4 linked regions of the Elephas maximus indicus genome follow. The protein of the gene in region 1 interacts with the protein of each later gene in a pairwise test. Links are inferred from orthologs where the notes say so. Each region holds a gene or a part of one and is shown in the gene's direction. Other genes may lie near its edges. The genes, in order: YWHAG, TNFAIP3, FAM53C and EPB41L3.

Region 1 (7,890 bases):
CCTGCCCTGTGCCCTTGTGGCAGGTCAGTCACCAGAAGGCAAGGCCTCTTCTTTCCTGAGCAGGTGCCAAGGGCAGATCCTCGTAGCCTGGGCAGGGAAGGACACCTTTATTAGCGGGAGTCCCGAAGCTCTGCCTGGGTTGGAATTCAGGCTCTGTCAGTCACTGGCTGTGTGAACTTTGGCTGGTCACACAACCTCTCTGAGTCTCTGCTTCCTTGACTAAAAAACGTGGTTGATCCTGAGTCTCTCAGCCCTTAGAACTCGACCATCTCCTAGGTCTGCAAGCACAGACCCCTGTTTCCACAGCTGAAGAATTCCAATAGCCTTCCATTTTAGAAGAGGAACATGCCGAATCTAGAACTATGACTCATCACATTTAGTTTAATTTCAGTAGGGAAATTAAGACCCTCAGAGGGGACAAGCCTTGCCCACAGAGCTGGGAGCAGGCAGAAGCCAGATGCTAGTTCTCCACCTCACTTCTCTAGATTTCTTTTAGCAGAACTAGGCAGTAGAGGAGGAAACCAGGATGTTAAGCCATTTGCTCTGTGTAATGTTGCCATGCCTCTGAGGCAGCCCTCTAAACAGCCAGGGGCTGCTGGGCAGCTGTAGCTTTAAGTCTAGAGTCTTAAAAAATTAAAAAGGAAAGGAGGGCAGGGCCAGCTTTCTCCTGCACAATTAGAGGGAAGCCTCGATATGGAGACTGTAGATGTCATTCCTATTTGGCTTTGCAGCATCATTTTCTTTGCATCTGTTTTATTTTTTCCCAAGTAGGTTTGGCCTGGGTTGTTTTTTAAGTGCGTTGGACTGGTTGGGAAAGGAACTAGGTGGAAGAAGTCAGAGATGTAGCCCAAAATGTGCCACGGAGTTCTGAGATTTAGCATCTAGAGCCAAGATCAGTGACATGTTTAATTCACAAACTGACAACCAGGATTGGATATAAGGGTTCACTCCCACTGGCCTCGGATGCCCACGGCAGAGTGGTTCATGCCTGGCCTGCAGGGAGGAAGAGAAAGGAAGAGGAATAACTTGGTGAACAGTCATGCAAGAGCAGAAGGAAGTAGGAGGGTTTATTCACCAGCAGGATTGCAGTTTGCTGGGTGGTGTGGTAAGAGAAGTGGGGCCAGGCTAGATCCAACGTTGGAAGATGGGGAGAAGAGAGCTATTTCTAGGCTCTCTCCCCACTCAGTCCATCTCCTACACTTCTGCTAGCACAGTCTCCCCAGAGTGCATTCATTCATTCATTTCACATGTTCTATGTACTTACTCTGTGCCAGGAACTGTGTTAAGTACCAAGGATTCAATGGTGCTGAAGAAGACAAAAATGCAAATCTGATCATCGTTTGCACTTGTTAAACTCACTCATCGGCTTCCTATTTACTTTGGAATAAAGACTTAACTTCTTAGCCTGGCATTCAGGGCTTCTCGTGTTCGTGATTACCATCCCAGCCCCATTACCTATCACCTGAGGGTACCAGACACATCAGATTCTTTGCCTACCAATAAATATGCCAGGGAGGAACCTGAGAACCTGCCTCTAAGCCTTGCTATTTGTGCCCTCTGCCTGCTCTTTCTTGTCTAATCCTACATATCCATTAAGGATCAGTGGGAAATGTCACCTCCTCCCTGGAGAACCTTTTTAGAATCTTTTCCTGCCTAGCCTGAAAGAATTAAAAAAAAAAAAATTATAGAACTTAACACATTCTAAATCCCTTAAGTGATACCATGGTGTGGCAATGGCGTAGTGGGGGTGTCATCCAACCGCTTCATCTAACTTCACAAGAGGAGAGGAGAATCAGTATCAGCACCAACAGCCAAGGCTGATTGCTATGAGGTGGAGGTCAGACATATCTCCTTGTCCAATCTTTTTACCAATTCTGACACCAGCCGTCCCTCCCATGGCACTCTCTACCTCTCCGTTGGGTTCAATGATTCGTTGCAACGGCCACACAGAACTCACAGATCGTACACACAGTTATGGAGTTTATTAGGAAAGTTTTGTTGTTGCTGGGTGCCGTCCAGTCAGTTCTGACTCACAGCAACCCTATGTACAACAGAACAAAATACTGCACAGTATTGCCATCCTCACAATTGTTGCTATATTTGAGCTCATTGTTGCAGCCACTGTGTCAATCCATCTCTTTGAGGGTCTTCCTCTTTTTCAATTTTCAAGTATGATGCCCTTCTCCAGGGATTGGTCCCTACGTAAGACGAAGTCTTGCCATTTTTGCTTCTAAGGAACTTTCTGGCTGTACCACTTCCAAGACACATTTGTTCATTCTTTTGGCAGTCCCTGATTTATTCAATATTCTTCGCCAACACCATAATTCAAAGGAATCAATTCTTCTTCGGTTTTCCTTATTTTTTGTCCAGCTTTCGAATGCATATGGGTCAGGCGCACCTTACTCCTCAAAGGGACATCTTTACTTTTGAACAGTTCAAAGAGGTCTTTTGCAGCAGATTTGCTCAATGCAACATGTCATTTGATTTCTTGACCGCTGCTTCATGGGCACTGATTGTGGATCCAAGTAAAACGAAACCCTTGACAACTTCAATCTTTTCTCTGTTTATCACGATGTTACTTATCGGTCCAGTCGTGAGGATTTTTGTTTCTTTATATGGAGGTGTGCTCTATACTGAAGGCTGTAGTCTCTGATTTTCATCAGTAAGTGCTTCAAGTCCTCTTTGTTTTCAGCAAGCAAGGCTGTATCGTCTGGATGTCAAAAGTTTGGTAGTCTTCCTCCAAACCTGATGCTGCATTCTTCTTCATATAGACCAGCTTCTCAGGTTATTTGCTCAGCAAATAATTTAATAAGTATGGTGAAAGGCTACAATCCTGAGGCACACTTTTCCTGATTTTAAACCACACAGTGTCCCCTTGTTCTGTTCAAATCACTGCATCTTGGTATAGTGAAGCAACAGGTTACAATTCAGGATCAAGAACAACTCGGGATACAGTTCTTTGGTCAGGACGGTCTCTTCTCAGATCAGAACAGTCCCTTGGCCCCTCAGTCTGGCCTTTGTCCTGCTCGGGCAAGTGTTACAAAGCTGTTTTGCTCTGCCAATAAATGCCCAGGGCCACCCTACTCTTCAGGGAAGCCTCTGGCCAGAAGTCACTCAGCACACCCACTGTAACAGCCTTACTCCATGGGCCAGGAAGCCCACTGCGTCATCTGATCACCTGGTTCCTGCTGTCTTGTGCCGCTACCACTCTCGCTGCTGCTGTGCTGCTGTATTTCACTGTCTTCCATGTTAGAGCTCCTCCCTATCTCTCTCCATGTCTCCCTTTAAGCTTAGCAGAATGGCAAAATTGACCAATCCCCTCATTAGGGCTCCATACACCTTATTTGCATGGTCCCACTTCTGCAAGGGTTCCATGCACCTTACTTGCATTGGCAGCAAGCCGTCCAATCCTTTTAGTGGTCTACAAGCACTTTATTTGCATAGTTCCACCCAATCATTGTGTGGGAGTCACAAAGACTATGGCTAAAAAAAAACCCAGTGCCATGGAGTCATTCCGACTCATAGCGACCCTGTAGACTATGGCTAGAAGGGCCACATTAAGTAATTCATTGCACGAACGTGCCCTCTTCCTCCAGCATCCTAGGGCCTGGAATATTCCCTCACACAAACTCTTTCATTCTAGGTTCTCATAACACAACATTTCACATCATCTATTAATCATTTTCTAACATACTTTACGTATTTATTATTTATCTTGTCTTTTCTGTTTCTATGTCTAGAATGTTAGGTTACACATGGGCAGAGATTTTTGTCTGTTTTGTTCACTGTTGAAGACCATTGTTTAGAATAGTGGTTGACACATAGTAGGTGCTGAATAGGTATTTGTTGAATAAATTAGGTAAGTAAAATGTGCAGTCAAAACTATGGGTGTCTGTGAGACCTATATGGAATCTCACTGAAGAGAACCATATGGGAAAGAATCTGTCAGCCTAATCTCGGTGTGTATGTCCCAGGAAGGGAGAAGGACTGGGCAAACTCAGATCATAGCCCAGGGTTAGGCACAGCATAACTGTGAATTGAATCTTGAGTACTGGGCCCTGGAGAGGAAGAAGGAGCTTTCCAAGGGTCAGCCTCCACACAGTTGCATCTTTTCTTAAATTAACCAGTATGCTGGGCTGATATTTGTCCTTCCTTATTTTCACCTAGTCGTAACCAAGAACTTCAAGGTGGGCATAGGGAGCTGGAACCTTGGCGGGGTGGCTGATAGTCCAGGGTTTGGCCCCTTAACTCAACCATCCTGCGGGCTGGCACCACCCCGACAGTATGGATCTACAGCGGATGCGCCCTATCCCTTTCTCCACTCCCCTCTCTTTTCCCCCCCAAAGGCCTGTTGCTTTATTTCGGAAACAGAGACCCTTGACCCCTCCCCTCATAATTTCCCGAAGAATACCCGTCGGGCCATGAATCAGCACTCCCTAGGATTGATGCAGTCCTCATCCCCGCCAGGGGTCCCCAGTGACTGGCAGATTAGAAACCTCCCCAATCCTCTACCGCCCGCGCGCTACGTCCTCTGGGAGATGTAGTCTTGACCGCCCCTTTGTCCTTGGTCTGCCCAGTGGTTCGCCCCCGCAGGAGCACGAACTACAACTCCCAGGGGCCGTTGCGCCGCGGGCCCGGCGGGGCGAGGGTCTGAAGGGGGAGGGGGGAGTCTGGAGGTGCTGGGGCGAAGGAACAGGCGTGGGGAGGAGAAAGGGGAGCGTTGCGGAGCAACGGGGAACGGGCGGACGGTCGGAAGACCGTGGCTAGTAGAGCCGCGGAGCTGAAGCAGGAGAAGCTGACGGCGCCAGGGAGGGGCCTGGGCGGGGTGCGCGCGGCGGGCGGGACCCGGCGCGTCACGCGGCGTGGGCGGGGCCGCTGGGGGTTGTCCTCTCGCCGCACGCACAGCAGCCGCAGCCGCCTCGCGCCGGTCCCGCGGTCGCAGCTCGAGCCGCAGCCTCTGCCGCCTCAGCTGCTCTTTTCGTGGGTCGGTCCCTCCGGCACACGGGCTCCCGCCGCGCCGCAGCCGCCCTCCAAGCCTTTCAGGCCGCCCCGGTCTCCTCATCCGGCCCGACCCAGCCCGCGAAGATGGTGGACCGCGAGCAACTGGTGCAGAAAGCCCGGCTGGCCGAGCAGGCGGAGCGCTACGACGACATGGCCGCGGCCATGAAGAACGTGAGTTTCCCCTCCCCTCGCCCCGCCACTCCCTGCCCTTTCTGAGACGCCTTCATTCGCCTTAGAGGCCCAGGGACTAGTCGCCTGTCGCGACTGCAAGGTGGGTCGCCCCTCCTCGCTTAGGGGGCCGTGGAGGGTCCTGATCGTGAAAAGCACCCGGGTTGTGACGCTGTCTCTCATCCCCGTCCCTGGGAGCTGGCGGCGCTGCCTCCTCGGACTTCGGGGCTCAGACCGGACCGGGGCGGGGTCTTCCGGGACCGTTCGCGGGCGCGGGGTCTCTGGCCCCCGCGTGCTCCGGGTCTGCTGGGGACCCGAGCGGGGCCGTGCGCATCCTTTGTGCCCCACTTCCCCTCCTCCCAGCCTGGGGCGTGGGGGCGGGGGACCGCATGGATGCGGTTCCTCTTTCTCTCCCTGGTGTTTGGGCGGCGCCTTTCCCATTCACTCAGCAGGTTTACTCTTTTTAGACCCCCCCCGCCCCCCATCTCCTTCCCCTCTGCCCCTCCTGACAGATCCTTTACAATCTCCCCCAGGAAAAATTTTAGGCTCTCCTGAAAACCTGGGGTCAATGGTGCAAAATCGAAACCTTCTTGATCACGTTTTTCTTAACAAAAGGCTCCTGTTTGTTCATTCCTCAAAGCAAGTCCTCCCTTTGGGGGGGGGGACATTTGTCTCACTAGCTTCTTCATTAATTGTTCTCAGCATGTCATCTGCATTTCCCCTAATGTTTTGTAATGAAAAGGGTAGGTATTGTTTTTAAAATAAAAGTGGTGGATGTAGCAGCCTGGTTAATTTGTGACATATGCTTTTTTTTTTTTTTTTTTTTAAATTATAGGCACGCGTATTGAAATTCCTGTAAGTTGGAAAAAAAAAATTCTGATCTGATATTGCAAACAAAGCGGTGGTGGGAGGCAGTATCAAGTCATTCCAGAAGATTCTGCGTTTGTCATATTGCAGAGAGCCTAGACTGGGTGGAGGCTGGGAGGGGTTGTTTAAAGGGGGAAAAAGTGTTTTTTTAAAAAAAAATTTTTTTTAGCTATATCTGAGGCTTTTTTTTTTTTTTTTAAGCTAGTGCACCCTCACGCTGATGAAAAGAGAATAGTGATCTCCAGTTGTCGCGTTTTGTTTGAGATGCAGATTTCTGCCTGTATTGCACCATTTTGTCAGTAACACCACATTTATCTAACGGGCTGTCAACCCGCTTGAGATGAGAGGAGGGGGGAAAGCATTGAACATTATTCAATATGGAAAAAATGATCTAATCATTTAGGTCTTACACTATCTTAATATTTAACTTTCTACATTATGTAACAAAGATAATTAAAATGCATCTCCAGTTTGAAATGGATGCACCTTGCATGTTAAATCTTTTTAATGAAGCAGTGTAAGTATAGTAGATTAATTCTCGAGTAGCTAAACTAGTTCACAAAAGATGACAATTGGTGATGCCTTTATATTTAAACCAGTTACATTAACAAAAAATGTTATCATTAAGGAAGGGATTTGATTCTGGGAATTGGGAGTATCCTGTTGCTTAATGTATTGCCACAGTTATTATTTTACAACATTTTAAAGATCAGATGATATAGGTTGCATTTTTAATGGATGCCAATGTTGAAAATATCTTTGGTTCATGTTATTTAGGCTCTTTTAATTTTTCCATATTTCTAGTTTCACAGGAAAGCGAGTGACCTCGCACCTATATCCATAGCAACCCAGTGATGTCACACACAATGACACAGAGGCTGCAATGCACCTAAGGGCTGGTAGGGAGTATGCAAATGGCATTTGTCCAAGGTAATGCAGACGTTAGTTGATAAACCTGGTGGGATTGAGCACTTCACCTTCCACTAAATAAAAATTGATTTGCAACGGAATGGTCCTATTGGTCCAAAAAATAAGTATTTCATTTACCCTTAGACATGCAAATCAGTGACCTCTAGATATGCTTTGTTCACTTTATTTCTCTCTCTTTTTTTTTTCAGACGAGTTTATCACATCCATCCTATTTTAAACACTCATCTCACTTAATTAAAAAAAATTGGGCAACGATGGAATAAAAGTATGAATTTAACAAAGGAATATGTTTTATGATCGTAGTGTGGGGGAGGAGCTTTGTACTGGGGTTTTATTGAAAATTAATAGCTTGGCAGATTTTGATGAAAAACCTAAAAAAAAAAAAAAAAGACTTCCTACTGGGTCATTTTTAGTAGCTCTTAGAGGATAAGAACCCATTACAAACCAGTTATTAAATTCATTTGAGGTTGGGCTTTGGGAAAATTGTCTTGTTGTATTTGTGCTTCTGCTACTTGACAATATGGAGGAAAGACAGTTTGTAAAATAAAACAGACCTATTTTCAAACCTGTTTACTGTGACTTTGAGGAAGTAGGCTGACCTCTGGCCCTCATTTTCCTCATCTGTAAAGTGGGGCAATACCTACTTGAAAAAGTTGTGGTTAAATAAGAAAATGTAGGTGCTCAAAAGCGGTAACTATTTATGAAACTTTGTTTCTTGTTTATAAAAATGATTTCATTATGGAGAATTTAGATAATCCAGGAAGGTATGAGGAAAATACTCAGTGCTGTCACTCAAGTGAGCTCTCTTTGAAGGTGGAAATTTTCCTGACGCTAGAGGGATTCAAATTTATTTGTCTTTATGAAATTATCCCAGTAATAACAGTGTTGGGATCTTTGTAGAGTGTGATAATTGTATGTGGGTGA
Region 2 (7,842 bases), on another chromosome or scaffold:
GATTCCAACTCGCTGTTCAAATAACCGGAACTAATTTATCTCAGTTAACATCCACCTTACTGCTACATCCACCACTGTACACCACTGGTTCCTAATGACACCCACTTCAGGGTTTTCTGTCATCGTGTTCGATCTGGTCATTAATAACAGCCTCCACAGAAACAGAAATGAAACTAAGTTGAATCTTTATATGCATGATGTTAGTAAGATTACTGTGCCAAGTGTTCCAGCCAAGTGTTGACAGGAAATTAAGCCAGAATTCACAGAGGGAATGAATTTTCTGACATGTGTTGGATTTCAGCATATCATGCTTTCAGGCAAAGTGAAATAAGAAGAGCTGTGCTTGGCATTAAACCAACTGCCTCCCAGCCAGTGGCAGGACTTTGTTCCTATCACTAGTGACTCAGTGACTCATTGGGTTACCCTAAATAAATCCCTTCACCATGGGGTTTTCAGTTTCTCCATTCATCCCAGGTAATCCCTATAAAGGATCTGAGGTCTCTAGATAAGAAGTGACATTTCCGTGGAATTTGGTCTTCATATGATACGAAACCTATGGCCTCGTAATTGCAGCTCTCAGCGTAGTTATAGCCATAAAGGCTTCTATTGTATTCTCAGAAGTAGCATTTGTAGCACTGATAGCTGCTGTGAGAGTACAGGCAAACATTACTCTTTCAGAAATCACAAAACTCAACCAAGATTTATTGCAATTTGAAGCAGGATTCAGAGCTACCCTGCAATAACTAAACTGCCAAACTTACATAAGGCTGTTTCAAAATATGTTTAATATGGATCTTGCTTTTCAATATAATGCAATTCTGGGAAAGGGAGACAATTGTACAACTGACACAAAACATCTGATTCTAGTTTGACCCATGGTTGTCATCTCTTGGAATTTTGTACACTCTCTGAACGACACTATTGCTGACTCTTGATTAAGGGAAGGCTCACGAGCTGCTGTTTGACCTGACCTAGATTGGGTCCCCTTCCCGCATGTCAGGTCCCTGGGTGGCAGAAACAACTTGTGCTCGACTGTTAGTCAAAAGATTGGCAGTTCGAACCTATCCGGGGGCACTAAGGAAGAAGGGCTGGTCAATCTGCTTCTATAAAGATTACTGCCAAGAAAACCCTATGGAGCAGTTCTGCTCTGTAACACATGAGTTGGAATCAATTTGATGGCGCCAGATTTGGTTTGGTTTTCTCTGTGTCACATCTGCCTCTCTTTAGCCAGGTTTCTCCCGCTCCCCGCTATCCTGGGCTGCACCTCTTTTTCATTATTTGGTATAAGCATTGGAGTTCCCAGCGTGGTGCAAACGGTTAATGTGCTCAGCTGCTAAAGGAAAGGCTGGAATTTGGAGTCCACTCAGAGGCACTTGGGAAGAAAGGCTTGGTGATCTACTTTGAAAAAATCAGCCACTGAAAACCTACAGAGTTCTACTCTGACGCACATGGAGTTGCCATGCGTTGGAATCGACTTGATGGCAACTGGTCTGGCATAAGCATACAGGCTGCAGGCACCGTCCCACAGATAGTATCTAATGTCAAGAGGTTATGTGTGCCCACTACACGAAGTTCATGACATATGAATGCTGGCAACACAGTCAAAACAGCACGTACGTCATGAACTCTCCAGAGCACTGCACATAATGAGAATTCCCCTTTCCTCTCTCTAATAAGAACACATTTTTCTCCTACGTGTCTACCAGATATTAATAAGCATTCCTTCCCCTTTGCAGAGCTCTGTTCATCTTGATAAGGTCTGTAGCAGAAATCAGAGTCCTAGCAGAAATCAGAGTCCTCTGCAAGGCTTTTGAGCACTCTATATCTCCTTGGTTTCGTTTCATCCCACAAATCTCCTTAAATTTTATCTCCTCTTTCCCATAGTTTCTCTTTCTCACTCTCCCCTCTTCTACCCTTTCTTTCCAATACTCCACCAAGAAAATCTTCACTGGTCTTGCCAACATGCTAAATACTGGAAAAGGGAAAGCTATGTTGTCAACCAAATGGAACCTAAGTACACATCTTCACCGAGCTCATGGCTCTAGCTTAGGGGTTAGGGGTGGGGCAGGAATGAATGAGCTCAGTAGTAGAATTATGGAAAATAGAGGTAGGGAACAAAACTGAGGGTTGCAGACCACTTCTGGCTGCTATTACCTCATCACAAATATTGGCAGACACAATGGCAAAGTGGCTACCTTGGGCCAGTGGGAAGTGGTAGCCGTGAATCTAGCCTTTTAGGCTTGTTCTGTCCTTTTAGGTTACTCTTCGTTATTGCATTCCTAGCTCATCAAACCAAGGAACAAGATAAGAGGCAGAGAAGGATCAATGGAAGTTAGGAGGAACAGAGTCCCTGGGTGATGCAAACGGTTAACACACTCTATTGCTACCAGAAAGGCTGGAGGTTCGAGTCCACACAGAGGCACCTCAGAAGAAAGGCCTGGTGATGTACTTTCATAAAATCAGCCATTTAAAACCCTACGAGCACAGTTCTACTCTAACACACATGGGGTCACCACGAGTCAGAGTCAACTCAATGGCAACTGGTATATCAGGACACAGAGCAGGTCAGAGCCAGATAAAGAGAACAGGCAAGGTGAGAGTGGTCTGAGGATTAACATCCTAATAGGATGTTCTTTTACACACATCATCTTCTTTTATCATCTCAACAAGCCCAAGAACTTTCCTGAGCGTGGAACCAAGGCCTACCTGGCTCCCAAGCCCACGTTCTGCCCAGGGTCCTTGTTTGCTCAAGTGCCTACAGTGTGTGTGGGAGGCAGGGGGCAGGATATTCACAGGCCTGGGCTCCAAGACTTTATATCTTGTGGGATATTTCCTGAAAGGCATAGTCTAATACTTAAGACTTAATAGTGTGGGCTTTGGAGTAAGACAAGCCCAGTTCCAATCTCAGCTCTGCCACTTAATTGTTGTGTAGACTTTGGGCAAATTGCTTAAGCTTCTTAAGCTTCGAATTCTCACCTCCAAAGTGGAGTTGTGAGGTTTAAATGGCAGAACACATTTCAAATATTTGGTCTTGAGCCTAGCGTGTAGTAAGTACTCAGTAAAATCTGTTGTTGTTATTATGTTATTACATTACTAGCTTGACTGTTCATTGTTTTGAGTACTGGCAGCTGAAAACTTCGCGAAAAAGAAGGTAACAAATACTAGGTTTGGAGCTGGAAAAAAATGCCAACGTTAGTTTAAAATGACCAGAGCCAGCCTTGGGACTGTGACCATTACTGACTCTCTGCTTTAAGTCTCCTTTTGCCCAAAAAGTGCCACCTACCAGCCAACTCTTGTTCTGGCCTCTGCAAATCTATACCGGGGAGAGGAAATACTTTTCTAATTCAAAACTTGAGATACGTGGCTTGACAAGCATATTTAAGTACAGTCAAAAGGCTAATGGTAAAGAATATTTCAATCTGACCCTAACTTGGCTATTTTAGGAAGGAGGCCTATCGGGCACCTGTGCTTTGAGGGCCCCAAATCCCACTGCCATGGAATAGATTCTGACCCATAGCGACCCTATAAGACAAAGTAGAGCTGCCCCATAGGGTAACCAAGGCTGTAATCTTCCTCCCGGAAAGCGACTGGCTGGTGAACTCAAACCGCTAACTTTCGGTTCTTACAGGGCATCAAGGTATAAGCGCCCTAACGTCCCTCCCTGCACAATTTACGCACCTCCATCGCTCAGGTGGCTGACATCTTTACGTGAAAAAATGCAGTTACCACGCAAATAGCACATGGGGGGAATAACAAGGTATCTTGGGGCGATCTAATTATCACGACTTCTAAAGAAGACACACCTAATGAGGCCTTAGGAGGGCATGGCAAGGTCAGTAATGGACTAGAATCGATTTCTCGACGGAATGTGATGCCACCCAGGCGCTTGACGTGCAGAAATGGAGAAGGGGAAACCGCGCAAGTGCCGGGGTAGGGGCCGGATTGTTCTGAGTCCTAATTTTATCCAAGACTGGCCTTGTCATGGGATACTCAAGGCCACAGGGCCGCAGGCAGGGACAGATTACCCAAAAACAAAGTACGCAAGGGCTTACTTGTGCTTATTTACCAATCCTTGGTGCACAATTTCAGCTGCTTTTCACCATATTAAAGACGTGGTGAAACCCATGTGAAATTGTGCACCAGGGCTCACGACGTAAACACAAGTAAACCCCTGCGCACCTTGCTTCCTGGTTAATCCGCGGCAGGGAATGTCGCCTCAGGCCCGCATTCCACCCAGCCTGGGGTCGAGGTAGACAGGAAGGCTGTGGAGGGACCCAGGGCGGGTACTTCTTGTCTCCAAGCTCCGCTGCGGCCAGGTCTTGGGCTCTCCCCTAGTGCTCCCCACGTGCGCAGCCCAAGCCTCTCTACCCCCCGGCTGCGCAGCTTGCGGTCCCGGGCGCCAGGGTGGTTTTCAGGGTTTTCTTCCTCTATGATTTCCCTTCTTCTTCTCCACAACTGATGATTTTCTGCAGAAAATCTGAGAAAAAGAACCTACTTCATTTCCAGTTCCCATCACCGCGATTTCCACATGGATGTGACGTTGGGCCGAGCTTCCGAAATGCCCAGGTGACTCACGCGGGGACACCCCGGGGCGGGGCGCAGGAGTTTCTCCGCGCGGCCGGCCGGCGGGGCGGGGCGGGGCGGGGCGGGGCGGGGCGGGGCGGCCGGGAGGGCGGTCGGCGGGCCGGGCTGCGGCCGCGCGCTCGCCTCCTGCGCCCTCTGGCGGCGGGCGACTCTTCGGCCGCGAGTTCCCGGCGCCGGGCCTGGCGTCACGTGACTGGAAAGTCCCCGGGTGGAAATCCCCCGACTATCCGCAAGCCTAAAACAGAAAGGGAAAAGAGAACTGCGCAGTCTGCAGCCTGCGCTGTGGGCCAAGTGCATCCGAGCTCGCGGGGGCGGAGCGTCGGGAGCCGCCGCCGGGAGATCTGCGGCAGCTGGCAAGATCCACACCCCCAGCCTGCCGGCCAGCGAGCGAGCGAGTCTCAGTCAGCCGTCCATGGGGTGCTGCTTCGCCCTGGCCTCAACGCGCTTGCCCTAACTGGGACTTGGGACTTGGAAGAGGATCGCACTCCAGGGAGAGGTAACCGTCGCGGCACGAGCTCATCTGGGGCAAGGGCTATGGGTGCGTCTTTGGCAGCGACTGTCGAGCTTGCTGCATCTGCTTGGCATTGGTTTTGCAGTGGTTCTGGAGGGAAGTTTGTTGGCCGTTTGTGCCCATTCTAGGTGTTGAAATGCTAGGACTTGAGGTCGCCGAGCCAGATGTTGGGGTGACAGCCCTGGATCCCCCATCCAGCTGATCCTTTGCAGTAATGCAGAGAACTTGAGCTGCAGCTGACTGCTGAAGTCAGCTTTGTTAGATGGGTCATTGGTGCTTTGCTCCTTTTTCTGTCTTTTTTGGAATTAAGCGTTGCATGCTCTTGGCCACGTAGACCTTGCAGAACCACTGTGACGTCTGCCGAGATTATGCAGAACCAGCCCAACGGAGGTGGCAGGTCGCAGGGGCAACAAAACTCAGCCTGTGTGGGGGGCTTCGGTGAGCTAACCTTTCCAGGGACAGCTTCCAGACAGTGTTCTGTGCAGGAGAGGTGGGGAGGATGGGTTCTTCTCTGAAAGTTGCAGCAGTGTAAGAAGTACGCTGGAAGAAGTGGGTTGCCCGTCTGTCTTTTGGGGGCCCCAGTTTAGAAGCCATCTGCAGGCCCCCCGCACCAGTCACTACCCCACAGTCAGACTGTCACTCAGCCCAGGTCGCCCCACATCCTGCCACCTGGGCTCTCAGGAAAGCAGTGGTATTAAGTAAGGAAGGAGCTCAGCTCATTTTGAGACCACTTTGTTTTCAGTTCTCCCTGCCTCTGATCTTCCTTGGAAAGCTGGTCTGGTCAAGTGTCTCTGGGCAGCATTTGGGAGAATTGTTATTAATTGATTAAAGAGCCTGCTGGACTGCAACTCTAAATGCCCCTGATTATTGAGCAGCACAGTTAGTGCACCATTCTTACTGTCTAAGGTGCTTCTTTAGGTTTTGCAGTTCTTTCTGCAATGTTTGAATTTTTTGACAGGTACTTTCCAAAAATCTGATGAGATGTTTGCTGATAAATAATTCATAAATTTCCACACTGCAGACAAAAATGTCTGCCTAGAGTGGAAAAATAAAACCAGGGGGAGAAGACTTTGAGCAATAATAAGTTCTGTAGAATCTCATTGCCTGTAGTGACAAAAATTGGGAAATTATCTTCAAATAAGTCCAAGTGAGGTCACACAAATGTTAAAAAAAAAAAAAGGGTAATGTTGTATTCCTTTGACCTATAAGGATATTACAATCATATGACAGATACTTATATTTATGTGTCTTGCGACAGTTGACAGCTCTCGCTATTTTAGATGTTGGCTGAAGGATCTTTAGGTTCAGAAAAGCAAAATCGAAGAGTCAGAAAAGCACAAAGAGGCAATACCTAGCTTGTTTAAAATCTTACTACTTACTGCTTGCCTGTTTCCATGGAGAGTAGCAGGCACTGTAGCCACAGGTGTGGTGGCATCGGACAAGCAAGAGGCAAATATTGGAAGACTTAGACGCTAGGCAAGGCTCTGCACTGGGTAGCTGTAGGACCTTGAGCAGCGGGTCCCTCTGCTTCTGTACCTTAGCTGCAGACTAAGGTAGTTGTATGATTTCAAAGAGGGGAATAAGGTCGTATTTGATTTTTGGCCCTTGCATCAAGCGCAGTGCTGCCTTCAGTAGGTACTCACGTAGGATTTGTTAAATGTATGGATGAATGAATGACATTGTGAAAGAAACTTTTGACATGCTGCAAGGAGAATGTGTGTGTGGTATTTTTGTCCCTTGATTGCACCCTGCAATTATTCTGCCCAGCTCACGTGCAGGGGATTGCTTACATGAAAGGAGAGGTCACCATCTGACCAAGAGATTGACTCGTCCCAGGCTCCACTTGACAATCAGATGAAAAATCCTGATCCAAAAATACCATCAGAAAACTCCTCAGAAGCAGCCCCTGCCTAGTCCAACCTCTCTTCTTTGAGCGAGCCATAAGGATTTAGAATACCTTGTCAATAGCTATGAGGAGCTTGGACCCTTTCAGGAGTGGCCTCCTGAAAACCTACCTAAAATCTTCTTTTCCCTCTTGTATGGGTTTAATGTCTTTCTCAACTGGAGGCTTGTCCTTGCAAATAGTTTGGGGTTGAGAATGGGATGAATTGCTGCCAGGAAACTTCCTAGGAAATATCTTCGTGCTTTGAAGTCAATTTCTTCATCTTTTTGGAAATTAGCATGTGTAGGAAGGCACCCTGGCCCTCCCCCCAAGCGCTCCACTGGCAAGATCCAAGTTTCATGGATTCATGTCATTCCACTCTTTTGCCACGGGTCGTAGATGCTGGTCTTTGCCCCTGTTCCCCTTTCACTTGTCTTGTGAGGCCCCCTGGCTGAAAGTTATTTCCTTGTCTGCCTCTAAACTTTTCATCTCTTCCCACTAGTTTGAAGATTTTAGGGTAAAGGAGACGGTGGTAAGTGTATCTTGAGTGTTGGTTCCTGAAGGACGAGGATGAAATTTGGTTGGCCATCAAATCAAAATAATTGAGCTCCTGTCTGCTTTTGGGAGTGCAGAATGTATTTATTCGATTATTGCGCTGGGTCTCTTTATTAGTCCGGGGTCATAAAAATTAGTGGAAAGGCTCTGAAAGACCTCCGACCATTCTTAAAAATGGCCGTGCAGCTTGCTGAGAATAGGCTTTTTCATTGATTATAAAACACTCCGTTTTAATTCTTCATAGATGTTTTTCTTTGGGGCTAAAAAGGAAATATTAGCAGCAGCCTAAGTGACAGCATACAATGCAGGA
Region 3 (7,144 bases), on another chromosome or scaffold:
AGTCGGAATCACTCCACGGCAACGGGTTTCCTTCTTTTTGGTTGGTGGCGCAATGGTTAAGCGCCTGGCTGCTAATGAGAAGGTCGGGGGTTTGAACCTAAATCTTTAGGCAGTCTGCTCCCTGAAGATTTCAGCCTAAGAAACCCTGTGAGGCAGTTCTGTTCTGTCATATAGGGTCGCTATGAGTTGGAATCCAGTCGACAGTACACAACAGCTGATACTAAGTTATTCATAATTTGGGGGATTTGCTTTTAAATAATGGGGTAGGGAAAACCGGTGTGTATACATGAAACAAATTGGCCATGAGTGATGGGTGATTGGTACACGACGCCCACTAGTACTTGTCAAAGTTTAATGTGCATTCTAACCACCTGGGATCTTGTTAAAATGCAGATTCTGACTCCCTAAGTCTGGGTTGGGGTCCAAGATTCTGCACTGCTAACAAGGTCTTAGGTAATGCTGATGCAGCTAATCCTAGGACTATACTTTGAGTAGCATTTAAAAAAGAAAAAACATTGCTGTTGAGTGGATTCCGACGCGTAGACCCTACAGGGCAAAGTAAAACTGCCCCATAGGGTTTCCAAGAAGTGGCTGGTGGATTCAAACTGCCCCAAGGCATTATGCTATTCTCTTCACTGCTGTGTATTATTTGAAATTTCCCATAAAAGTTTAAAATAAACTTGTAAGCTCTTGAAAATGCAAGAGCCCCAAATACTGATTCAATAGGTCTGAAATGGGGCCCAGGAATGATCAAGGCCCCCAGGTGCTACCAAAGCAGATGGTTCGCAGACCACACTTTGAGAAACATTAAGTCAGAAATGCAACTTTATCTTTGAGAAAACAATAAGTCAGAAATACCACATTTATCTGGTGTCAGAATCTTGGTGGTGGTGGTGGCTGAGAAGCATTGTAGTCAGCTGGTTACTCCCTGATACTCCCTTCATCTGTAGAATCTGCTTCTCTAGAAAGGAGATGTGTGAGGAGTCTTTGTCTTCTGGGATACAGATGGTGAATGCAGGAGTCAGCACAGAGTCACGCCATGCCAGGTGAGTTTGCAAATCAGGCTGGGAATTAAGAGAGTATGGGATGAGTTGGTTCTGCTTTGGTGACTATAAATCACACTTTGTGGGGCACTGTGTACTTCCCCACAGTAGAGACATATGACATTGTCCTGCAGCGACGGCAAAAGCAGATAGATTATGGCAAAAGCACACCTGGCTACCAGGGCTTTCTGCAGCAGGTCTCCACATGAGTCTCATTGTGGGGTGGTCACAACAAGGGTGCCCACCAAGTTGCTTTGGTTCAGAGGATGGAAAGATACTAGGATCTGAGTGTTTTGAATGTGCTCACAAAGTTGCAGAACTACTAAATTTCTTGTAATCTAGCCCTAATATTTCCAAGGTTTTTTTTTTTTTCAAGTGGAACATACTTGGTCCATTGGCTTTTTTAAAAAATTGATTGTGGTGAGATATATATTTCAACAATTTTCTGTCTACAATTCACTGACATTAATTACATTCACCATGTTGTGCAACAATCATCATGTTTCCAATTTTTTTCACAGTCTTTAACAAAAATTCTGTATCTCTTAATATCCCCGATTTTCCTCTCCCACCCGCCCCTCCATGTGACTTTTTAAAGCTCTATCTGTGTTTCCTAATGAGGTGGTTTTCCTTCCAACCATTTTTACCATCGTCTTCTTATGCCTCCTCTTGACTTGGTAATTGCAACATACTTGCCTAAGTACATGTAAATTTACACACACTCATAGAAATTAAATGCATGAAAATGAACATTTGTTTTAAAGGGAAGTCAAATATTTTATGTCTACCTTGATTTCCAAGAATATATCTAATTTACCCTTTCCAGAAGAAAGGCTATTAGTGAGGCTGAAAGTTTGGTGTATAATCTGAAGATCTACTTTTTCTATTTGATTGAGGACACTGGTCTTACTCATTCTCAGGGAATTTCTAACTAGGCTCCTGATTCATTGTGATAAGTAGTGAGCTGTGCCCCCTGCTATACAGGGCCCCCTTTCATATTGACCTCAGCCTGACCCACATTTGTTGTTGCCAGGGCACAGCGACAGCCAGGGCTTCAACCTCAGACGCCAAACAAGAACAGACAGTACAGCCATCGCTCCTGGGATGCCCAGAACAGGCACTGGAGAAGAGCCTTGCATTCCTGGGATCCGCCCAGTCAGCCCCTTCAGGGCAGGGCTGCTCTGGGGTGTGCTGACTATTTCTGGTTCCTTCAGTGAGTGGTGGGCTGAGCCCCACATCTCCCCACTTTGCAGAGGTTTATCTTTCACTGCGTGAAAAGGGAGGGTCTGAATAAAAGGCATGTTCCTCTGACTCTGCTGCCTTCCTAGACAGGGAATGGAGAGTCTCTTAGAGCCAATGGACTCCACCCCTTTGGACAATCTACTGGATGACTGGCTCCAGGCCCTGAAACTCTTCGAGAATCTGGATGGAGACCAGGTAGTATACTCTGCTGAAACTCCCTGGAGCAGGGTCAGAGATGAGGTCTAGCCCAAGGGCACAATTAAGACGAAGTTCAAGGTAGCATCCCAAGAACAAAAGGAAGCAGCTGGAAAAAAAAATAACAGGTCATGACTTAAAAACTTGAGAACTAAGAGAAGGGTATAAGGAGATTTAAAAGGAGCCCTGGTGGGACAATGGTTAAGTGCTTGGCTGCTAACCTAAAGGTTGGTTATTCAAACCCACCCAGTGGCTCCATGGGAGACAGTCTGCTTCCATAAAGATTACAGCCTTGGAAACCCTATAGAGCAATTCCATTCTGTCACATGTGGTCACTATGAGTCGAAATCGACTCGATGGCACCTAACAAGAAGGAGATTTAACTATAGTTAGTAATGGAGGTGGAGCTTTGGGCTATACTGAGTGCTATTTTACCCTTGATGAAAGAGGGGGTATAGCCTTCCTTTGAGGCCTGAAATCTGCTCAGTTTTTGTTTGATTTTGTTTTTTAACGTCTCAAATTCTTTCAATGTTTTACAAGTTAGCCAATGCTAACTTAACTTCTTTTACTCAGTCATTTAACTTTTGTAAGCACGGATAATTTAAAAAAAAAAGTGGGGGGTATATAGCCTAGTGCTTTACATAACCAGGGCTTTAGAGGCTCATAATTGGTTCTTTGCCCACCACTTGGGCACTCAACCTCTTGGGCTGTTTATTGTCTCATTTGGTGATTGTAAGCAAAAATGAGAATACATTATTTAAATTATATAGCACCGTGCCTGGCACATATAAGTGCTTCACAGCTATTACTGAAAACAGTGTCTCCTATGCTTCATGGTCCCTGCCTCTGCTTCTTTTTCACCAAGGGGAAATGTGCATGGCAAGGTATATCCCCCTCCCACTTTCTTATAAATACCTCACTTTTCCTTTATTCTTTTTCAGTTAGCTGACTTTGTGGCTCCTGCCTCCTCCCTTCCATGGCTCAATGAGGAAGATCCCTACAATGACTACTTTCTAGCTGAACACAGCTAATTTACCTGTACCACTCCTGAGTGGGGCACAAAATATTTACAGAAAACAGATGTCTTTCAGGGGACTTACTTGCATTACTACCACTTTCCAATCAATTAGAAATCTAAAACTCTACCCTACAAAGGGATCACAACCCAAAGGCATTGTTTAAAACCTCTTCTTTTTCCATCTGTTTGCCTGTCTCTCTGAACCATCTTTGATGCTAGCTGAGACTCAAATTTACATAAGAGCCAGAAACCATCTAACTGTTCCCCAACCTCTTCACCTTCTACTACTTTCAGTCTCTTTGAAAAGAATTTAAACTTCGGCTGAGGTGGGAGGTGGTGGTGGTGGGAGAGAGTTAAAAAGAAGGTGGTTTTCCTCATCCTCAAGAGGAAATAGCGCCGTCAACATCTTTTCCCCATCTGCTCCCTCCCTCCCTCTCGGTCTTAAAAAAAAAAGTGGTCCAGATGTAACCACTGTACCCCTCCACACCCCCCACCCCCGCAAGCAACTGAACCGCCTATGATGTCATAATCACAATCCCATTACCTCATCCTGATGGGGCGGGGGGGAGAGGGAGGAGAAAGAGTGAACAGCCCTAGGCCCTCCTCAGCTTTACAAAGTGTTCTGGCTGAAGGCTAATTACAGAATCTAGTGGGAACGGCCCCGCATCCGTTGTAAATGCTGCGTTTATAAGGTTCGAGCCGATCCAGCAGCTGGAAGAGGGGCTCCAGGGACTCAGAGCAGGCCCTAATCGGCACTTGGACTACACGTCCCAGCAGCCTTTACGCTGCGGACCGGTCCTCCGCAGCAGGAAAGGGGATTCCTTTACAGAGGCGGCGGTATAAGGCGGGACAGAAGAACAGGTGAGAGGAGCCTCGGCTAATTCTGTTACGCGGTCCGAACTAAGTGGGAAGCTGCACTTGGGCCAATGGAGAAATGGAGGGCGGGGGCGATGGCTTTGTTTACCTTCGTCGGGTACGGCTTCACCCGCGGGTTTCTAGATATGCCTCCAACTGGGCACGTCCACCTTCCGCAATATTTGAGGGGGGGTTACCCGATAGGGAGGCAACCATCCTCAATCCTAAATCAAAGCGCCAGGCTCGTTCCTGACAGCGCTATCCGAGAAAGACTTTGAGAGGGAAACGACGCGGGGCTTAAGCCCCAGCGGGCGATTCAGGAGGATTCTTTGAACTGGTGCGATCCTCCCACTCTCCTCAGGGGCCCATTGGTTCGCGCCGGCGCCTTTTAAGGGCACCGTGGGGCGAACCGAACGCTCAGAGCTGCTCCGGCCGCGGCCCTGGGAGCTGGGGGAGCTGCGGTAGGTGGCGGAGGGCAGGTGGTGCTGGGGCCTTGGGGCGGGCACCTCGACCGTCACTCCTTCTTCCCTTTCTCCCCTCCCCCAACCCAGCCGCCCGCGCGGCCGGGCTTCTCAGGCCGCCTCCGCGGGGAGAGCACGGGACCTGGTGGGGGAGGGGGTAACTGAGTGCTAGGTCCCAGACCCTCTCCATCCCCTGCGTCCTGAGTACGCTTCCCGAGGCCAGATGATGGAAGCTGAGTGGGAAGAGGCGAACGACAACCCCCTTGAGCTAGCCCTGGCCCTCCCCACCCCCGCCCCGCAGGGGCCAGCGGACGCCCTATGCCCCACCCCGCGGGGACAGGCAGGGCAGCAGAGGGAGAGGTGGAAGATTGGAGGGGGCCTACCTTTTGCTTCTTCATCGGGGTTGGGGGAGGGGTGCACCCCACTTGTCACCCTTATCCCCACCAGAGCTATATGGAGGAAGAGCAGTCAGGTCCCCTCTTACCTGTGCCTGCACCTCTCTGCCTCTCATGTTTTTCTTTGGTCTCCCCCAGAGGTGTGGGGCTGGGACCTGGGGGGAAGGTCCCCAGGGGATATGTGATTCTTCTTCCCCTTGGCTTGACTTAATCTTAGGTTCGAGGTTTCAGCACAACCTCAGCATCCCTTAGGCCCGAGTGTCACTGGTTACTGCCGTGTATGGGAGATGAAGTGGGGTCCGATCTTTATTTTAGGGGGCTTGTGGAGGAGGGAAAGCCTGGACTGAGAGTTGGACCTGGTGGGGTTGTGAGGAGAGTCTAGAGGCCTGCTGCTCAGTGAAGGGCTGATCCCTGTGCCAGTTGTTAAGCTGAGAAGTTTTAACTTGTTTCATGAACGTTCAGGGCTATATCTACCCCTCAGACATACAAAATGGAAGGGGAACGAAGGCGGCCAAGAGAGGGCTTTTTAGATACTTTTTTCAAAGCCTGCCTGAGAAAGAGGAGGCCCCTCGCGGAGCTGGTTTGCCTTCTTTTGTGTCCTGGTTTGATTCCTTATGGCTTCCGTTCTGTTCCCCCTTTCAGCCTGGCCTGTTTTAGGAAACTCAGGCTGAGAGTATCAGTTGCGTGGTGGTAGTTGCATTGTTCCAATTACCGCTGTGTGTGGCCACATCCCAACAATTAAAATGCAGGAAAACACAAAATCACTCTCTTGATCCCAGAGAGGGCTGGGAGTTTGCTGTTTGGCCAAATGCCTCATGAAAAGCTTGAAAGAGTTGGCCTCACTCCCTGCTCCTCATGGCCGGTCAGCCTGAGGCCTGGGGTCTTTGGGGTAAAAGCCTGCAGTTAGGTTCCCTCTCCGATTGATCTTTGGGGGCAGAGTTAAGAAATCAAGAGCAGAAGTGATACAAGCGTTAGCTTCTGCCACAAGAACGTAGTGTAAGCAACTAAAGTGAGTTCTCAGGAAACTAGGACTTTGTTCAGAGCGTTAATAATTATGCATGATAACGACAGTTAACTATAATGATGATTGACTTCTCTGGCACCTTTTTTCCAAAAAACTCCAACTACATTCACATGTTTTCCTTTGCTCTTCCTTGTGGCCTCTCTCTGAGGTGGGAATGGAATAAAGATGATTCTCTGTTTTTTGAAAAAGTAGAGAGTGATTTGCCCCAAGGTCACAGAAGAGCCCTCTTGGGCTTTTGTTGGTACACAGCCAGAGAGACAGACTCTATTGCCTTCTTCATCTTAATGATATCATCGCTTCTGGTATCCCGAGGCTCTGCAGAGTAACAAACGAGGGGTGAGAAATGGCAGTCTATGTGGATTCCTGATTCATACAGGCCAGGTGGTATGCTTTTGTACATTATTCACGTTTCATGTTATTTCCACCCTGGGTACAGATTAAGATTATTGTGCCCATTTTACATATGGGTAAACTGAGGCCAAGGAAGGTTAAATGATTTGCTAAAACTGTCAGAGGAAGCTGGATTAAGATTTAGATTTTTTTGATCCTTTGTTCTCTCTAGGAGCTGCTTAAGAGTTTACCTGCTAACCAGAAGGTCACAGTTTGAATCCACCAGACGCTCCTTGGAAACCCTGTGGGGCAGTTCTACTTTGTGCTTTTGGGATGCTATGAGTCGAACTTGACTCTATGGCAAGGGTTTTTTTTTTTGTTGTTATTGTTTTAGCAAATTTTATCTGCACATTCTGGTGGACTGTCTTCCTGCTTGTCATTTTTGGGAGTGGGCAGAATGGTACCACTGTGACACTAGGTTAACCTCCGAATTTCCCTTGAGCAAGGCCCCTCAGGCAATTGTGTGATCTTGAAGCCTGTTCTCTGATGAGTTGGTTTGCTTCTGACCAGAAATTGACTCC
Region 4 (7,606 bases), on another chromosome or scaffold:
ATTTAATTTATGCACCAGTGTGTTCCCTTTTCTGATTCTTTGGCGAATAGCATTAGTTAGAGTCTGAGAGAAGGTCAGCTATATCTTCGGCCAGTAGAATTCAAGCTTGCATGCCTGCAATGAGAAGAAAATCCACCATTCACTACCAGGAGCAAGGAGTGTAGATTAAAAACACAACACTGGTTCACATCCCAAGTTATTAACTTTGAAAATATCTGAAGGACCTTAGGAAGACCTTGCATAGACTCTTTCCAAGGTGTCTGTGGATGAGGATAGAATGGGGAGGACTCAGGAGAGGGCAGCTTCCCTGTAGTCTTGGAGGGCTATGTGGTCGGTACTGACGACTGGCTCATTTGTGGTCTTGGTAGGCAGGGCTGTTATGATTGCTTCCAATGACCATTAGGCACCTACCCTCATCCTACCAGCTACTGATAAACCATTTGCTGTCGAGTCGACTCCAACTTCTGGTGACCTCGCGTGTTAGAGTAGAACTCTGCCTCATAGGGTTTTTGGTAGCTGATTTTTCAGAAGTAGATCACCAGGCTTTTCTTTTAGGGACCTTTGGGTGGACTCAAACCTCCAACTTTTCTGTTAGCAGTTGAGTGCTGATGGAACGATCAGTTTCTTGAGTTAATAGCTGATGGTTCTATTAAATTTGCCGCCTTTATGAAACTTTACATCGGTTGTTTGCTTATTCATTCTTTCCTTTGAAGATTGGGTCTGCACAGGGCAGCCACATAGTTTCAAGCAGCACTTCGATGGCGACTTTGGATGGGCCTGATTAGTAGTGTACATCTGTAAGCCAGAGGTCCTGGAGGCCTATGTGGACCTGAAGATCACAGGGTCCTTGCGTAAGCTAGTAGCAGACGGGTTTTCCAAGGTGACTGTTTCTGTGGAAAGCCCATGATGCATGAGCTTTCAGTCTGGGGTGTTCCAGCTCCTTGAAAATGTATTTTATGTGATTTTATGCTGTGAAATTTCTTACCTCATAGAGCAATTATTGTAACTTGTAAGACTAACAATGGCTCCTAGAAATTTTTTTTTTAACTTTTATTGTGCTTTAAGAGAAATTTTACAAATCAAGTCGGATTCTCATACAAAAATTATAACACCTTGCTACATACTACTAACTGCTCTCCCCCTAACGAGAGCACACTCCTTCCCTCCACTCTGTTTTCATGTCCATTCAGCCAGCTTCTGACCCCCTCTACCCCCTCATCTCCCCTTCAGAGAGGAGGAGCCCACATAGTCTCATGTGTCTACTTGATCCAAGAAGCTCATTCTTCACGAGTATAATTATATATCCCATAGTCCAGTCCAATCCCTGTCTGAAGAGTTGGGTTTCGGAATGGTTCCTGTCTTGTGCTAACAGAAGGTCTAGGGAACATGACTTCAGGGGTCAGTCTAGTCTCAGTTAGACCATTAAGTCTGGTCTTTTTATGAGAATTTGGGGTCTGCATCCCACTGCTCTCCTGCTCCCTCAGGGGTTCTCTGTTGTGTTCCCTGTCAGGGCAGTCATTGGATGTAGCTGGGCACCATCTAGTTCTTCTGGTCTCAGGTTAATGTAGTCTCTGGTTTATGTGGACCTTTCTGCCTGTTGGGCTCATACTTATCTTGTGTCTTTGATTTTGTTTCTGCTGAGTCTCTATTTTTTCCTTGTATTTTATTTTGATGGGTAGGATTGTTATTCTCCTTTTTGGTTACCTTCATATTTACCCCTATTTTTCTAAGTTTAAATGTAACTTTTATTTCTTTATATCTCCTTGTCTTCCTCTCCATGTGAAAGATCTATGACTACGTTTCTTAGTTCCTCTTTGTTATTTTAATGTTGTCTTCTTTTACGTAATGATTTTGCTGTTTCCCTGTTTTGAGTGTTTTTTTTTTATCTTGTTTTATTTTTGTGATTTCCCTGTCTGGGTTAACATCTGATTGCTCTGTCTAGTCTTCTAGTCTTGGGTTGATACCTGATATTATTGATTTTCTAACCAAAGAACTCCCTTTAGTATTTCTTGTAGTTTTGGTTTGGTTTTTACAAATTCCCTAAACTTCTGTTTATCTGGAAATGTTTTAACTTCACCTTCATATTTGAGAGACAGTTTTGCTGGATTTATGATTCTTGGCAGGCAGTTTTTTTCCTTCAAGGCTTTATGTAAGTCATCCCATTCATTGCCTTTTTGCCTCCATGGTTTCTGCCAAATAGTCTGAGCTTGTCCTTATTGACTGTCCTTTGTAGGTCACTTTTTGTTTATCCCCAGCTGCTCTTAAAATTCTCTCTTATCTTTGGTTTTGGCAAGTTTGATTTTAATATGTCTTGGTGACTTTCTTTTATAATCTACCTTATGTGGAGTTCGATGAGCATCTTGGATTGATATCTTCTCATCTTTCAGGATATCAGGGAAGTTTTCTGCCAAAAAATCTTTAACAATTCTCTCTGTATTTTCTGTTATCCCTCCCTGTTCTGGTACTCCAATCACTCGTAGGTTATTTCTCTTGATAGAGTCCCACATGAGTCTTAAGTTTTCTTTATTTTTTTAAATACGTTTACCTGATTTTTCTTCAAATATATTCGTTCCAAGTGCTTTATATTCAAGGTCACTGATTCTGCCTTCCACTTGCTCAGTTGTGCTCCTGTGACTTTCTGTTGAGCTGTCTGGTTCTGTAATTTTATTGTTAATCTTCTGAAATTCTAATTGCTGTCTCTCTATGGGTTCTTGTAGCTTACTAAATTTTACACTATTTTCTTAAATAACCTTTTTAATTTCTTCAATTGCTTTATCTTTGTGTTCCTTGGCTTGTTCTGCATATTGCCTGATCTCCTTCCTGATGTCTTGAAGAGTTCTATATATTAATCTTTTGAATTCTGCATCCGGTAATTCCAGGAAGGCACCTTCGTCCAGGAGATCCTTTGATTTTCTGTTTCGAGAGCTCATTGAAGAGATCGTGGTCTGTTTCTTTATGTGGTTTGATATGGACTGTTGTCTCCGGGCCATCTATAAGTCATTGTATTAGTTTATTTTATGTTTGCTTACTGTATCCTAGTTTCTTGCTTTGTTTTGTTTTGATATGCCCAAATGGGTTGCTTGAGTGAGCTACCTTGATTATTTTCGCCTTTGGAGCTCTGATATCCTGTCACCACATGGCTAGAGCTCTTATCAGGTAAATGAGCTTATGAGTTCATTCACTTTTCTTGTGTGGATTCAGCTCAGGTGTCTGGGTAGCTGGTCATCAAGTGTGTGGTACAGGCTCTGTCCTACCATCTTAGAGGGGTAGGGGTGTTTGGTGTAGGTACTGGTATCTAGTTGCAGCAGGGGTCATGCTCTGAACAAGGCAGGGGGCTGAGAACTGTTCCCTGAGTGTCTGTGAGGAAAGTGTGTCCCTGTTCCCTAGAGCATACAGGTGGGTGGATTCTGCAGATGGACCATGGGCACCCAGTGCTTTTGTTTGTAAGGACTCGGAGGTACCCATTATCCTTAGGCCTCTGTCTCAGGTGGCTGGGTGACCTGAGTGGAGCCACCAGTCTTTAGACCCCTGATGTGGGTAGGTGAGGACCCTATTAATAGGCAAAGCAGAGTCAAATATCAAACACCCACCTCTCTACCATACAGCTTAAACAATTGCAGTCTGCCATCAAGGGCCTATTGTCCTCAAATCAGCCCACACAGTTCCATGCAGGGGGGAAAGGTATTCAAAGTCCACGGATCATTTATGCCTGGACAGGAGCCACTTCTGTCCTGAGCTCCCCTTGGGTGGTGGAGCTGGCAAATTATCTTTTCCCCCAGTTGTGAATTTATTCCTTCTCCAAGGCTGGGAGCATGGCTCAATGTGCTCAGATTGGCCTCTCTCAGGCCTGGGGAAATCACCAGCCACAGAAGCCGGCCAAGAGCTGGGGGCACAGTAAAATATACGCAAGTACTTAGCTTTTGCCGAGAGTGCCGTTCTTCCTTGGCTCTGGAGGTGTGAGTAGGCTGTGCAGCTGGCTGCTTCTCCCTGGGGAAACTGCGGCTGAACGCTACTATCAGCCCACTGCTGCTGCATCCGGGAATGGTGCCTGAGGGATCCCGACGATTCAGGTCTGGCAACTCCTCTTTGTTTCTGAACCGTCTCTTTCTCCCTCTGCCTCTCAGACTGTTTTCTAACTTTGCCTTTGATATTCAGGGCTCCTGGCTTGTCATAAATGTAATCGTTTCACTTGATTTTTTGGGTCTTTGTTGTAAGAGGGATCACCAGAAGCATCTGGCTATTCTGCCATCTTCATCTCCTAGAAATTTTGTGCTATGTAAAAAATTTTTTTTCTGGACTTCGATTTAAAAAAAAAGATAATAATACTACTTCTTTAGTCTTTTCTTTGAAGAAGCCAAATTCTGTGGTTCTGATCTGAAGCACCTCTAAGTTGGGTTATACATTCTAATCTTTGTTGTTGTCTAATTAGATTTATTTTAGTTAAATCCTTGGTGGAATATGTAACTCATTTTACTGAGTTTTCTGATTATTATATTTAGTCAACCTAAGTCTTTACCTTGAAGCAGTTTTTTTTTCTCTATTTTAGTCCAGTCTTGCTTTAATTATTTTTATGTTCCTATACATTCATACAACTCTTTCATATCATCTTTCTGGAAACATCTATTGCATATTCAACTGTGGTTTTTATTTGTGAGTGTTTAATGAAAAGGTTAAAGAGAGATCCCTTTGGATCTCTTATGAATTATCTACCCTGTTTTTCTACAACTTACTCCATAATCCACCATGTCTTGGCAGTGGGGAAGTTTCTTGAAAGGAGGGAACTCTTATCAGCATGCTTAGTTTGTGGGTAAGTCACCTTCATTTGTTGGTTTATTCCTAAAATGTTTTTTCTCTCTCCCTTTTTTGTCTTCCTGTCTCACTGCTTCTTGGAACATGGAACATGGACCTGCCCATCTTCTGGAAAAATGTTATCTTGGGGCTTTGGAACATGAATAACATGGGTGAGTTCTGAATTTAATGTTTAAGCTGCTGATTTCCCTCTTTGTGGAAGAAGAAAAGTGCCAAATGCAATTGTTTGATGGAAAACTATCTTCCCGCACCCTGTGCTGTGTGCAGGCCTTGCCATATGTGCCTCTGTTCCAGCTGATCCTCTTGCATGTGAGGGAGAAATCCTGAGTCGTACTATTAGCAGGACCCAGACTCAAATGAAACAAAGATGAATTATTTTCAATGACAGAAGTTGCTATTTAAACCCTTGCTGTTGGTTTTCTTTCTTTCTTTTGGGTTATACCATCTTTAATAATAGTTCTTTACGACAAGCAATTTGAAAATACACCAGTGTAGCTTGAAACGGAGTTTTTTAAGGCTGTTCAGCTGTTTCTATAAATAATACACTTCATATCATCATATTTACCATTTATGACAGATAAAAATGTGATTATGTTTGTGATGTTGGCATTGTTTCTAATATCAACCCACCAGAAATGGTGCGTAATTGAGGGGTTTACATTAAATGAGTCATGAGTCTTCTCAGGCCCATTAGTCTTTAATAGATGTTATCACCATTCAAGGTAGCAAAACTGTTCAATATCAAATTCCAACTTTTTTTTCTGAAACTGACCAATTATGATGTCCTGTGCTTTTGCATTCTGCGTGAAGGTTCAGGCTTGGGAAAGAAGGTTGTACTTCTGCTGGTGGAATCCTTGCTGTGGAAAAAGGAGGCTGGATAACAGGCAGCCTTTGACTACAAAAAATATATACTTTTAAATACATTTTTTTTCTGGCTCCTGAGGATGTGGGAAACAAGTGTGGGGGAAAGCCGTTGAATGGCATAATATTATAGAAGAACTGGTTCCATACTTTTTATGCTTTTATTAAAGTATTTAGTATGGCTGACTCCTGGAAAAAAAGAAATCGGTCGAGATATTTCCTTAGAGAGTCAGTGTTTCGATTATCAATTCCACTTTTATCTTGAATCTTCTTCTCAATACATTTCAAACTACCGTGTCACTGTCTTAGCAGGCTGAGATGGCGGGATTTCACTTGCTGGAAGCAAAGACATTTGTTGTTGTCCTCAGTTATTTTTGAAATTTCTAAAATTGTATTGAATATTAGCATGAAATTTGGCATTGATGTTTGTGCGATTTTCTACTCTGGTGTAAGTGATTAGAGAGTCTTTATCTTAGATGATTTAGTTACCCATAAATATCCTTAGGAATGTGTGTCATTTGAGTTTAATCTGTTGAGCTGTGAGTTGTTGATTTGACACAATTACCACCTAATTAGCTGTTTTGCCTATTGGGTTATGTTATGATTCATCAGTTCCACATATAAAATTTCCTTTCTGGATTCAGGTTGAGTGTTTTCCTCTGTGCTCCTTCAGGTCTTTTCTTCTCCCTCCTTATGAATGATGACCAACTGCACGGTCATCCTGAAATCTCAGTTTCTCTTCCAGTAAGAATCGGTAACCAGAACCTAATTTTTAAAACTGATCATGAGCCGAGTTTTGTGAATCTTCTTTCTGCCTGGGACCTAGGAAATCTTCTGAAGGTAACACTTTATTTGTGAGGTGCTCAGGAAATCTTCAGAAACCTCTGATCCTAAAAATAGGAAAGTGCAAACAAAGATGTTTACTACTACTTCCCAGGCAACCTTGTGTCTGGGTCAGTGTGTCTTCCCACCAGCTCTCCGCCCCCTCTCTTTCTATGGCCGCCTGCTATTGAGGAGTCTTTTGATTTGGGGGTTATTTGCTTTTTTTATTTGTTTGGTTTTGTTTCATTTTTGGGTGGTGGGTTGGGGGAAGCTGGCTGTGCAGCCTAAATAGTTACTGGTTTGGCCAGTACTTTTTTTCTAAAAACAAGCTGGTAGATTCATCGTATTGACCTGGTTCAGTTTCTGTGGTGTGCAGAACTGCAGAATTACCGTCACCTTCACGTTCGCCATCATCTTCATCACTCAGTCTCTATCAGGTGCTGGTTTATGGACTTTACATGAGTCTCATTTAATTATCATTAATAACCTCAAGATACAGGAATTTTGTACCATCTAATTTGTAGGAAAAATTCAAGCCTCGAGTTGCAATAGTGAAGGATTCCATGGGGAAAATATTAAATGATCCAGGAAGCATAAAAAAAAAAAGATGGAAGGAATACACAGAGTCATTATACCAAAAAGAATTAGTCGATATTCAACCATTTCAAGAGGTGGCATATGATCAGGCACCGATGGTACTGAAGGAAGAAGTCCAAGCTACTCTGAAGGCATTGGCGAAAAACAAAGCTCCAGGAATTGATGGAATATCGATTGAGATGTTTCAACAAACAGATGCAGCGCTGGAGGTGCTCACTCATCTATGCCAAGAAATATGGAAGAGAGCTTCCTGGCCAACTGACTGGAAGAGATCCATATTTATGCCTATTCCCAAGAAAGGTGATCCAACTGAATGTGGAAATTATAGAACAATATCATCAATATCACACACAAGCAAAATTTTGCTGAAAATCATTCAAAAAAGGCTGCAGCAGTATATTGACAGGGAACTGCCAGAAGTTTAGGTAGGTTTCAGAAGAGGACATGGAACCAGGGATATCATTGCTGATGTCAGATGGATCCTGGCTGAAAGCAGAGAATACCAGAAGGATGTCTA

Evidence for each region.
Region 2: the proteins of YWHAG (region 1) and TNFAIP3 interact in binary tests that used the Homo sapiens proteins (3 or more experiments, as listed by UniProt). The link is inferred for Elephas maximus indicus from reciprocal best matches to the Homo sapiens genes YWHAG and TNFAIP3.
Region 3: the proteins of YWHAG (region 1) and FAM53C interact in binary tests that used the Homo sapiens proteins (3 or more experiments, as listed by UniProt). The link is inferred for Elephas maximus indicus from reciprocal best matches to the Homo sapiens genes YWHAG and FAM53C.
Region 4: the proteins of YWHAG (region 1) and EPB41L3 interact in binary tests that used the Homo sapiens proteins (3 or more experiments, as listed by UniProt). The link is inferred for Elephas maximus indicus from reciprocal best matches to the Homo sapiens genes YWHAG and EPB41L3.

Annotation. Positions count from the first base shown.
Region 1 is NC_064830.1:94,202,777-94,210,666, forward strand, and holds the start of YWHAG (14-3-3 protein gamma), read left to right. Parts: upstream 1-4,877; 5' UTR 4,878-5,085; coding exon 5,086-5,172; intron 5,173-7,890. UniProt on the Homo sapiens protein: Adapter protein implicated in the regulation of a large spectrum of both general and specialized signaling pathways. Binds to a large number of partners, usually by recognition of a phosphoserine or phosphothreonine motif.
Region 2 is NC_064819.1:207,624,461-207,632,302, forward strand, and holds the start of TNFAIP3 (tumor necrosis factor alpha-induced protein 3), read left to right. Parts: upstream 1-4,832; 5' UTR 4,833-5,080; intron 5,081-7,842. UniProt on the Homo sapiens protein: Ubiquitin-editing enzyme that contains both ubiquitin ligase and deubiquitinase activities.
Region 3 is NC_064820.1:151,427,150-151,434,293, forward strand, and holds the start of FAM53C (protein FAM53C), read left to right. Parts: upstream 1-4,137; 5' UTR 4,138-4,359; intron 4,360-4,406; exon of another isoform or gene 4,407-4,814; intron 4,815-4,828; exon of another isoform or gene 4,829-7,144.
Region 4 is NC_064829.1:23,598,159-23,605,764, reverse strand, and holds the start of EPB41L3 (band 4.1-like protein 3), read left to right. Parts: upstream 1-4,596; 5' UTR 4,597-4,900; coding exon 4,901-4,961; intron 4,962-7,606. UniProt on the Homo sapiens protein: Tumor suppressor that inhibits cell proliferation and promotes apoptosis. Modulates the activity of protein arginine N-methyltransferases, including PRMT3 and PRMT5.